Caenorhabditis elegans: one gene and its partner. The protein of the gene in region 1 interacts with the protein of each later gene in a biochemical or structural test. Each region holds a gene or a part of one and is shown on either strand. Other genes may lie near its edges. The genes, in order: lin-39 and tra-1.

What was found.
Region 2: the proteins of lin-39 (region 1) and tra-1 form a complex in vitro, tested with the Caenorhabditis elegans proteins (one study listed by BioGRID).

Annotation. Positions count from the first base shown.
Region 1 is NC_003281.10:7,533,379-7,538,449, forward strand, and holds the start of lin-39 (Homeobox protein lin-39), read right to left. Parts: upstream 3,255-5,071; 5' UTR 3,212-3,254; intron 1,323-3,211; coding exon 1,023-1,322; intron 1-1,022. UniProt on the Caenorhabditis elegans protein: Transcription factor.
Region 2 is NC_003281.10:11,192,135-11,197,218, forward strand, and holds the start of tra-1 (Sex-determining transformer protein 1), read right to left. Parts: upstream 3,068-5,084; 5' UTR 2,930-3,067; coding exon 2,909-2,929; intron 2,827-2,908; coding exon 2,731-2,826; intron 969-2,730; coding exon 908-968; intron 1-907. UniProt on the Caenorhabditis elegans protein: Plays a major role in controlling sexual phenotype. Terminal global regulator in a well-characterized cascade of sex-determining genes. Promotes female development. Interacts with tra-2 to promote spermatogenesis.

The DNA of each region.
Region 1 (5,071 bases):
ATTGTTTTGCCAAAAAATGATACTCTGCTCTAAAACTTCAAAAACTTTTTAGCAAATGTGTGTCTTAATCGAATTTAAAGCTAAAAATAACTACCTGTTGAGCATTAAATTTGTTATATTTATCAAAACTATCCACATTTCAAATAACCTTTTTTTATATTTAAAAATAGTTAGTACCAGTGCTTGGAGGTTTTTGCAGCTTCCAATTGTGAATCTAAAAAAGTACAAAAATCGATGGAACGATCATTAATCTCAATCTGAATACTCTTCTTCCTCTTATTCTCCATTTTGTAACTCGTTCTCATAAATTTTATTTCAATTCCTACTCTTCCAATGGTAGTCACCAGGCGCCAGTCCACTCACTTCAAAAGAGAAAATAAAATTGATCGCGTTGTCAGATTATTTTCAGAAACGCTGAGGAATTGATTGATTTTCAATTTTTGGCGGGAAATGACAGAAGTTTCAAACCAGTGGGAGGCGCCAAAAGGGTGTTAGAACTTTTGAATTAAAAAAAAACAGATGAAATAAAAAAAAACTTTCAAGAAATTTAAATTCCACATGGACCCGAAATGTTTCAAGAACTAATTGTCTCTGAGCACCTGTTTATTTTTCAAAATGGTTTGTTTTCAGAAATTAAATTCGATTAGCAAAAGTTAACCAAATCGGTCTCAGCGCTTTGCAGAAACTAGAATTATTTGAAGGTTGTCAAAAGTGCGGCAAATAAAAAATTGTGACTTTCTATAAATCTGTGAGCATTCCTTTATTTTAATTATCCCGAATCACACACTATTTTAGTTATTAAAATTTTACACAAATTTAATTTTTGCCAATAGAGGAGCTTCCTAACTATAACGCTCCAACTCTTGCTTAAAGTATGGTGACGTTCAGAGAACTTAAAAAGATTACGAAATTCGAAATTGCTGAACTTTTCTAAAATATCATTTCATCTACTTAAATTTGTAGTGTTTTTTTTTTAAATATAATACTGTTTTAAAAATTACCTTTAAAGTTTCGTAACTAACCTGATCTCCGAGTATTGGATATTGAGGACCTCCCAGTCCTTGACTTGAGGCAAAATATGAAGCAATTTGAGAAGAACTAGTCGGATCATAATAACTTCCAAAATGAGCAGAAAGTGCAGCAGACGCTGTCATTGGATCATATCCAATTGTACTCGATAATTCAGAAGATGATGGAATTCCAGATGCACCCACAGAAGATGTGGATGATGATGAAGAAGATGAGGATGAAGACGAAGAGCTTGATTCAGGAGCTGTAGCTCTCGGTGCATCTGTGGATGACGGTGATGTTGATGTGGTCATCTGGAGTGAAAACGAGTGAAAGTGATTGATAAGAATTGATTGAAAAGAGATGAAAAGATGAGGGGAGGGAGGGGAAACGAGGTGATATAATAAATGAGGACGAGAGGCGCGTCGGGGCGGTTGAACATTTGTTAAAAATGTGACGTCTCCCTCTTTCTCCTCTTTTCTTCCATTGCAAAAGAGACAGAATACCGGGCGCCATCCTTCCCCGATCCCGCCCATTTCTCCTATTGGACGAAGGGTGGAGTCTCAGAAAGCGGAAGGGATGAGGGAATAGAATAAGAGGACGATAGAGATGAATGCAGTAGTTAAAAAAAGAGATCAAATTTTTTTCATTGAAGTAGATCATTCAGATATTCCTAAAGTCTACATATCTTCAAAAACCGAATAACTAGTAGAATAGGTATTTAAATTTGAACAATTGTAGTGAGAGCAAGAAAACTAACAATTTGTGCTGCTAGTCTAGAATTCAGAGATACGTGTACAATCGCAATCAATGACCGGATCAATATCTCCCAAGAGCCCAAATTTTCAACACAAAAGTTAAATACGATGATTCAGTTCTTAAAATTTTGAAGAACTTTCAGCAACCATCAATTTCTTTTACAGGTGATCAGAGCTTTAAAATTTATTAAAATTCCTGGGCACATATAATTGAAACCAATAAATTTCAGAACACGAATTAGCAATAATTACCGTTTGATAGATTTTAAATTTTAATTTAAGAACCTTGTTTTTTTTAATTACTGCATTCATCAAAAGGAATTAGATCAACCTATCAACTACTTGTACCTAATCCTTAGGAAATCATTAAAACTAGGAAAACAACAAAAGCTTAAGAACGGAAACAGAACAAAAAGAGAAGAAAAGTAAAGAGTTGGAAATGGAGAGAGAAAAGATGATGGTGATAAATTGAGGAGCAATCTGCGAGAGACGAATTGTTTTTGTGGGTGTGCTCAAGTGGGTGGTCATGGTTTAAGACCCGCGGGTTTTACCTTATAAGATTGGATAATTGCTCTAAATAGCTTTATATAAACTAGTAAGCAATCTATGAGGTCAAGAAGAAGTATGGACTAGAAGTCTTTATGTGTTTTCTCTGTAGGCCTAAGCTCTGAAATGTTACCTAACACTATTCCACACATTCTCCATGTCTTGAATATTTATGTGACTACTGATTACAAAATGAAATTTCAGAAATATTGAGGCTGTGGGCAATCCTCGAAATTTGACGAACTCAGCAATTTCGGTAGATTTGTCGCACACACCTGACAATGAAGCTTTTAAGTTGGATAATTTAAAGTTGTGATAATAGCTTTTTTAAAGTAAGATTACATTTTGTTTTCTTCTATGATTCACAAATTAAACGAGGGTGAGATTCAATTTATTTAAATGATCGGCAGAATAACGGGAACACGGTAAAAAGGCGCCTTCGCAACGCCTCATAAAGTGCAACATCTAATCTGGGCTCATTTCTTCCAGATATGTTTTCAATTTTTCAATGGTATATTCTCCAATAATGCAACATAAAATGTTTTTTCGGAACGCAGGTAATTTGAATAAATTCCTACAACAAAAAAAAAACAGCAGAAGCCAAAGCCGAGTATCTAAAAATGTTTCAAATACTGAAATTTAGTCGATAACTTTGCGAAAATATAAGAGGGTTCCGAAATAAACTAGATTTTAAACGTTTTCTGCCACAAAGGTGGAAAATTGATATTTGAAGTACATAACTTGCAAAATTTAAAGACTACGTTTTAAATAGTAGAGAATTTTCCTATAACTTTTTCAGGTGACCTCTAGGTTCAACTTATTTAAAGTTAAGTTCCAGTTTCATTTAGAACTTTGAGAAGCTTTGTGCCAGGAGTGGATTTAAAAAAAGAGAGATTTACCTTAATTCTAGAAGGTCGTAAAAAAATGTTGCCAAAATTCTATTGTTGGTATTGCCATCGGAATTTCCTCTATCGCCCTCCCACTTCATGTCTTCTAATCCGGGCGGCACGCACAAGAAGACGCAGACGTACTGATACACGTGAAGGGTGGAGCATGCTTCTTCTCCAATCTCCCCCACTGTCGGCATAGATCAAAGAGGTTCGTGGAGCCGAGAGCACATCTCTTGCTCTCGCCTTTTCAATTCATCACTGACAGCGCTGGATGGACATGGGGTGAGAACGACAGGTACCGTAAGCTTTTGGGCTCCAAGAGTAGAAGAGTTGAGCAGAATGAATTTTCGCTTTTAAGTTGCCGCTTTTAGGAACAAAATCTTGACCAACTTTTTCCCATTGGACAAGTTGTCAAGAGTCAGTCGAAATGTGCTCAATTTTATGAACTCTCTGATTTTATAGATATGGAATTGTTACATGAAAATTGGAAAAATGGCAAAAAGGGAGAGTATCTCGGCTTTGGGCTAAAACTTGAGCAGAAATTGAGCAAGGTTTCGACAACATAGTCTAAGACAAGTATTGTCAAAGCTCTTACCAACTTTTGCCAACATCTGATAGTCCGCTTTTTGAGCCAAATGCCTGGTATGCACAAAAAGTTCAAATGACCAAAAGACGAATTTCTGTGAAATTTTAAAACGGCGTTATGGGAATTTTGAAAAACGTTGAAGTTTTTCTAGGTCATTGATCAGATTTTCTAAAAATTTAAGCTTCTAGCTATTTCTAGCTAAATTAAATGTTATCAATACTTGGTCGACACCAAACACTATTTTTTGGAATTGTCAAGATACCTAAATATAAAAGTCTACAACTGAAGCATACGCTTAATATGTTTTCAAGATTTTGCAAGGCATCTGAAATTGCTTCGAGATTTCCAGCAGTGCCTCACCTTGTTCTTAAAAGTAAAAGTTCCCGAAACTTGAGGTTTCAGAAATGCCAACTGCAACTGAATTGATTCCAACGCCTCTTACAAAATGAAAGAATAAAGTTCTAGAAGTTCCCTACTGTAAACATGCAAACAGAGATATTTAAACTATTTATAAAACTTAAAATGTGTTACTTTTGTTAACTTTGAAAGTCTTTTTTAATTTTTTGATTAAAATAAAATTTTCAAATTAACAGTACATAGAGAATTACAAATTCTCAGAGCCACAACACATGATAATGTACTATAAAAGGAAATAACCCAAACACATCACATTTTTTATTTCATTATCAGTTTTCTCAATCTATAAATGATCCAATATCCTCACACCTCTCACAGTATAGATAAGGAGATAAGAATTGCATAACACTGTGGTAATAAATAAAAAAAAAAAGTGAGTAAATGATTAGTAAGTGATTATGCAATTGACTCAAGTCTATTTCCTGTCTCTTTTACAGTGATTTATGAGTGTCAGGAAGCATCAAGAAGTGTGGAATGAATGGCATCCAATTACTCATTTGTAGGTACACGAATCAAGAAAAAATAGGTTGAAGAAGTGTAGGGATCTTCTCTCTTTTACAAATTGATGTTCGACAATTCCTCATTTTGATTTTTTTTGGTCTTCCAATCTAGTGCAAACAGAAACGAGATAGAATGAGTTACAGTAGGAAGTTCATTAATCAAATGACGAGAAAAAGAGGGAAAAGTAATGAATACATTGAAGCATAAGACAAAAAAGAAATGAAAGGAAAGGAAATTGAACCACCGGGGGATGCCTGGTGAAAAATGAGAAAAGAGGTAGCGAGTTTGGAAAATTGGAGTTATGAACTATATCTGAAAAAGTCAAACGAAAAGGGTTCAAAAGATCTAGAATATAAGCATCTGGA
Region 2 (5,084 bases), 3.7 Mb from region 1:
TCCGATTTGCCGGAAATGTTCAACTCTGCCAATTTCACCCGATTTGCCTGAAATCCTCAATTCCGCCAATTTGCCGGAAATTTCAACTTTCGGCAATTTTCCGATTTGCCGGAAATTCCAAATTCTGGCGATTTGCCGAATTGCCGGAAATTCCAAATTCTGGCGATTTGCCGAATTGCCGGAAATTCCAAATTCTGCCGATTTGCCGGAAATGTTCAACTCTGCCAATTTCACCCGATTTGCCTGAAATCCTCAATTCCGCAAATTTGCCGGAAATTTCAACTTTCGGCAATTTTCCGATTTGCCGGAAACTCCAAATTCTGGCGATTTGCCGAATTGCCGGAAATTCCAAATTCTGGCGATTTGCCGAATTGCCGGAAATTCCAAATTCTGCCAATTTGTCGATCTGCCGGAAATTTTAAATTCCGGCAACTTTCCAATTTGCAGGAAATTTCAATTTCCGATTTTCCGGAAATTTCAAATTTCAGCAACTCGCTGATTTGCCGGAAATTTTAAATTCCGGCAATTTTCCAATTTGCCGGAAATTTTTTAATTCGGTTTGCCGAGCCATTTTTGCCCAAAAATTACAAAAATTTTTGAAAAAAGGCGGTGTCTAGAGTCGAAAATCGCCCGTTTTTTTAAATTCAAAAATTTTTTCTAATAAATGTATATTTATAAATTGTGGAATTTTCTATTTTCTGTGGAATTTTTTGGTCTAAAACTGAATAATTTCTCTAGAAAAGCTGAAAACGGGTGGTCCATCCGACTCCATCGGGCGATTTTCAAAGAAAAAATGTGGGTGCAAATGCGCTCTAATGCGAATTTCTTCCGCATTTTTTTTCGTTAAAACTATTCAAATTGCCGCCGAATCGCGCGGTCATTCTCAACGGAGCGCGATTTCCCGTACCATTTTCGGTTTTCACGTCGCCACCACCAGGTTGTTTGTCCTCCGAACCCATTTGCTTGGCCTGGAAAATTGTAAAAATTGATTTAAAAAATTCATGAGAAAATCCAGAAAGGGCCCAAAATTTTAGGGAATTTCTAGATAAAATCCCCTAAAAAATGAGCTTCTGACTGAAAAAATCCATATTTTTTTGCATTTTCAGGGCGTGCTAAGACCCAAATTATACTTTTCTGACCTCCTCATCAACCGCGGCGGGGGTGTGCTCGGCGGTGCCAGTGTAAGAGCAAAAGTGCACGAGAACTTCAAAATAATATGTATGTATTTTTATCGGAATTCTCTGTCTCTCGAATTTTGGATAGAACAACTCCTTATCAGTCGAGCGGAAAAAAAAAACGACGTGGCAGGAGCAGCAACAGCGCCCAGCGAAAAAAAAGTAGTGGCGGAGCAGTGTTCGATGATCAGAGGAGCAGAAATATTCGGGCGGTCTAGACGAGGTAACGGTGGTGATATGAACCCGAAAAAGGAAATGAGAAACATGTAGAGCTGAGAAAATTGAGAAGAAGAAGAAGAAAAATATAAATTCTCACGGTTGGACAACCCAGAGACGAGAAAATCGACAAGTTTTTGGCGGGAAAATTTGGCGATTTTCGAGGGAAAATCGATTTTTATATTTTTACAAGTGCTGTAAGAGTGTCTCATTTCGGCTTGATCTACGTTGATCTACAAAAAATGCGGGAAAAGAGACGCACACTTTTAAACTGATTTTGCATGGTTAAGAACGTGTTATTTTTTTGGGCAAAAAATTCCCGCAATTTCGTAGATCAACAAAACGTGATGGGACAGTCTGGCACCACGTGTTTTTATAGGACCGCAGAAAAAAGGTCCGGGGTGCCGCCGAAAAAATGTTCAATTTTCGGTCTGTTTTTTTTTTGAGCAAAATGAGCAAAATTTGAAAAAAAAAACCGGCAGGCCTGATTCAGGGGTGCGGGGTACTTGCCGGAATTGCCGGAAATAATATTTTGGAAGTGTTTTTGAAATTAGACGCCTAGACATGCATTTTTTTGACCCGACTACAGAAAGCCCCATTTTTTTCAGATTTTTGTCGTTTTTCCTGGGTTTTTTAAAGGAATTTCTAGGAATTTCTCTTCCCCGGAGCCTGAGCCTAGGCCTAAGCCTATGCTAAAGCCTAAGCCTAAGCCTAATCCGTCGCCTAAGCCTAAGCCTTAGGCTGAGACTAAGCCTCAGCTTAAGCCTATGTTTAAGCCTGAGCCTAAGCTTAAGGTTAAGCTTAAACCTATGCCTAAAAGCCTAATCCTGAATCTAAGTTTAAGCCTAAAAGCCCAAGCCTAAGCCTAAGCCTAAGCCTGAGCTTAAGCATAAGCCTAAGCCTAATTATAAGCCTAAAAGCCTAAGCCTAAAACTGCGATTTTCAAGCTCAACATGTTGTCAAACTCGAATTTTTAAAATTTTTAAGTTTGAATTTAATTCTTTAATTCTGATTTAATTCTGAATAAGGCTAAATTTTTAAAATACAGTTAGGTTTGAAAAAAAAGCTTAAAAAGTGGGAAAATCAACAAAAAATTGAAATTTCGGACGTTTTCAGTTCAATTTTAAGCGAATTTCGGTGAATTTTTCCGGAAAACCACTCCTGGTACGTGAAAATTCGATTTTTCTCAAATTTTTGTGATAAATCTGCTTTTTCGAAAAGTTTTTGTCTGAAAAATGTGCATTTTTCCAAAAATCTACGAATTTTGCGGTAGAGATACCGGGATTTCGCTAGAAATGTTCGATTTTTATGGATTTTTTTTTCAGCTTCACAAACTTACACACTGATCGACAAGCTCCACCTTATTCCACCCATTTGCATTCTTTTTCTTCGAGAAGCTTCCACGACGTTGAGCCTCGACAACCGTATCGGGATCCTGGAGAGAATTGATTTTTAACGAATTTTTAATGTGAAAATTGTAAAAATTAGTTTTTTAATTCAAAATTCCTCGAATTAACCTCAGTACTGGGGGCCATCATGCCGCCGTTTTCGTTGTTTTTGATTTCCTGTTGAATTTGGAGAGTTGCGTTGAAAATTGCTTGACGCGGGGGCTCTTGATGCTCCAAATAGTGTTGATTATTTAGAAGATGACGTGGCGAGCCTCCTGGCACATTCTCTGCAAAAAAAATCAATAGATTTGAAGGATATTAGGCAGAAAAATGAGAAGAAAATCTTTAAATTTAAATTTAAAATTCAAAGAATAGAGTTCGTGGTGAGACCCATCGCAAGAATTACTGCATGTTCCTTTAAAACTACAGTAAGGCTCGATTAATTTTAAAAACTTTTTGAATGAGAATTCGCCAATTTTTCAGTGAAAATCAGTAAAAAATTGGGAACTGTTAAATATAAAAATACATGACTTTTTCAATTTGAAAGTTTGGAGCCAAAAATTTTCAAATAACGGCGCAGAGAAATTAATTGTCGGGTGGGTCTCGGCACGATCGTGGTGAGACCCGCTAAAAACATGGAGAACAAATATTTTGAGTTTTCCAGAAAAAACAACGACAAAAAAGGAGTCAAGGCTTGGGTGGTTTTTTTTTTTGAAAAACCGTGCACAATTTTCAGTACTCGACTGATAGCACATATACATAGGAGAGAAGAACATCTAACCCCCTTGGCGATGCGAAAATAGCATACGAGACAGAGAGACGCCGTACATTGGTGGCGTAACTGATAAAAAACTGATAATAAGTCTCAAAACCACCGCGGGCACTAGGCGCCAGCGCCGAGAAAAAGTAAGAAAAAAATAAAAATGTTGAGAAGAGGGGGAATAGTACTGTATCTATAGCCACCGGTCTTTTTTTTTGGAATTTTTTCGTTTTCGCGAACGGAAATTCGCAAAAAAAGGGAAATTGAAAAAGTAACCAGTGAAAGTGATTGGGAGGATGATATATATTGATAAGGGAGACCGGTGGAACGTGAGAATTTTGAATTCCCGCGCTGGACTACGGTAGGAAGGCGAAATTGGGATTTTTTGAAAAACTCTGGAATTTTCGAGTAAATTTCGTCTAAAAATGGAAAAAAATGTTGCGAAAATATTCTAAATTTTCTTTGAGGCGACTGTAGTTTTTTTTATTATTCGCCAAATTTTGAAATTTAATGCAAAAAGGTGTGCGCCTTTAAAGAATACGGTAGTTTCATTTTTTTTTGGAGTTTTTTTTTTGCCCAGTGTTTATTGTTAGTTTTTAAATAAATAAATAATACATTTTCAAAAATTGATAATAAATACCGGAACAACGAAAGTTTCAAAGTACAGTAATTCTTAAAGGCGCAAAACCTTTTGGCATTCAAGAAAAAAATTTTCGTGCCAAGACCGAGTACCGTATTTCTCGCGGAAAAAAATCGCTAATAATCGCGTTTGTGTGATATTTTTCCGCTTTTAACATTCAAATCAGGTGTGGGCGGAAAACAATTTTTTATCGGCAAACGGCCAATTGGCATTTTGCAAAATGAAAATTCCGGCAAATCGGCAAACCGGCAATTTTTTCGATTTGCCGGAAATTTTTTGAGCAAATTCTATGAAAATATCTAAAGAAAACGGGGAAAAACTTCAAAAAGGCACAGTTTTAAGAGTTTCCGGCAAATTGATATCCGGCAAATCGGCAATTGCCGGATATGAGAAATTCCTGCAAATCGGCAATTTTTTCGATTTGCCGGAAATTTTTTGAAAATTGTAAGCAAACTCTATGAAAATATCTAAAGAAAACGGGAAAAAAATTCAAAAAGGCACAGTCTTACGAGTTTCCGTCTTATAAAAAATCTGTCTAAAAATTTTCGGCAAATTGATATCCGGCAAACGGCAAATCGGCAATTTGGAGAAATTGAAAATTTCCGGCAAATCGGCAAGGTTTGCCGATTTGCCGTTTCCGAACGGCAATTAGTTTTTTTTTTTAATTTTTGAGTATTTAGTTTTTAGGTTAAATTCGACTAAAAAATCTTAGAATGTTTTTTTTTCCAATTCAACATGAAAATTGCTTTTTTTTAAAAATTAATTTCGGAGAAAAGAAGCAGAAAAAAAATTTTATCCACAAAAATTCGATTTTTACGAAATTTTCGAGATTAGAGGTACCAGTTCCGAAAACGAAAGTGTGAGTGGCCTTCGGGATTAATGTTTTCTCAGGCGGATGCTTACAA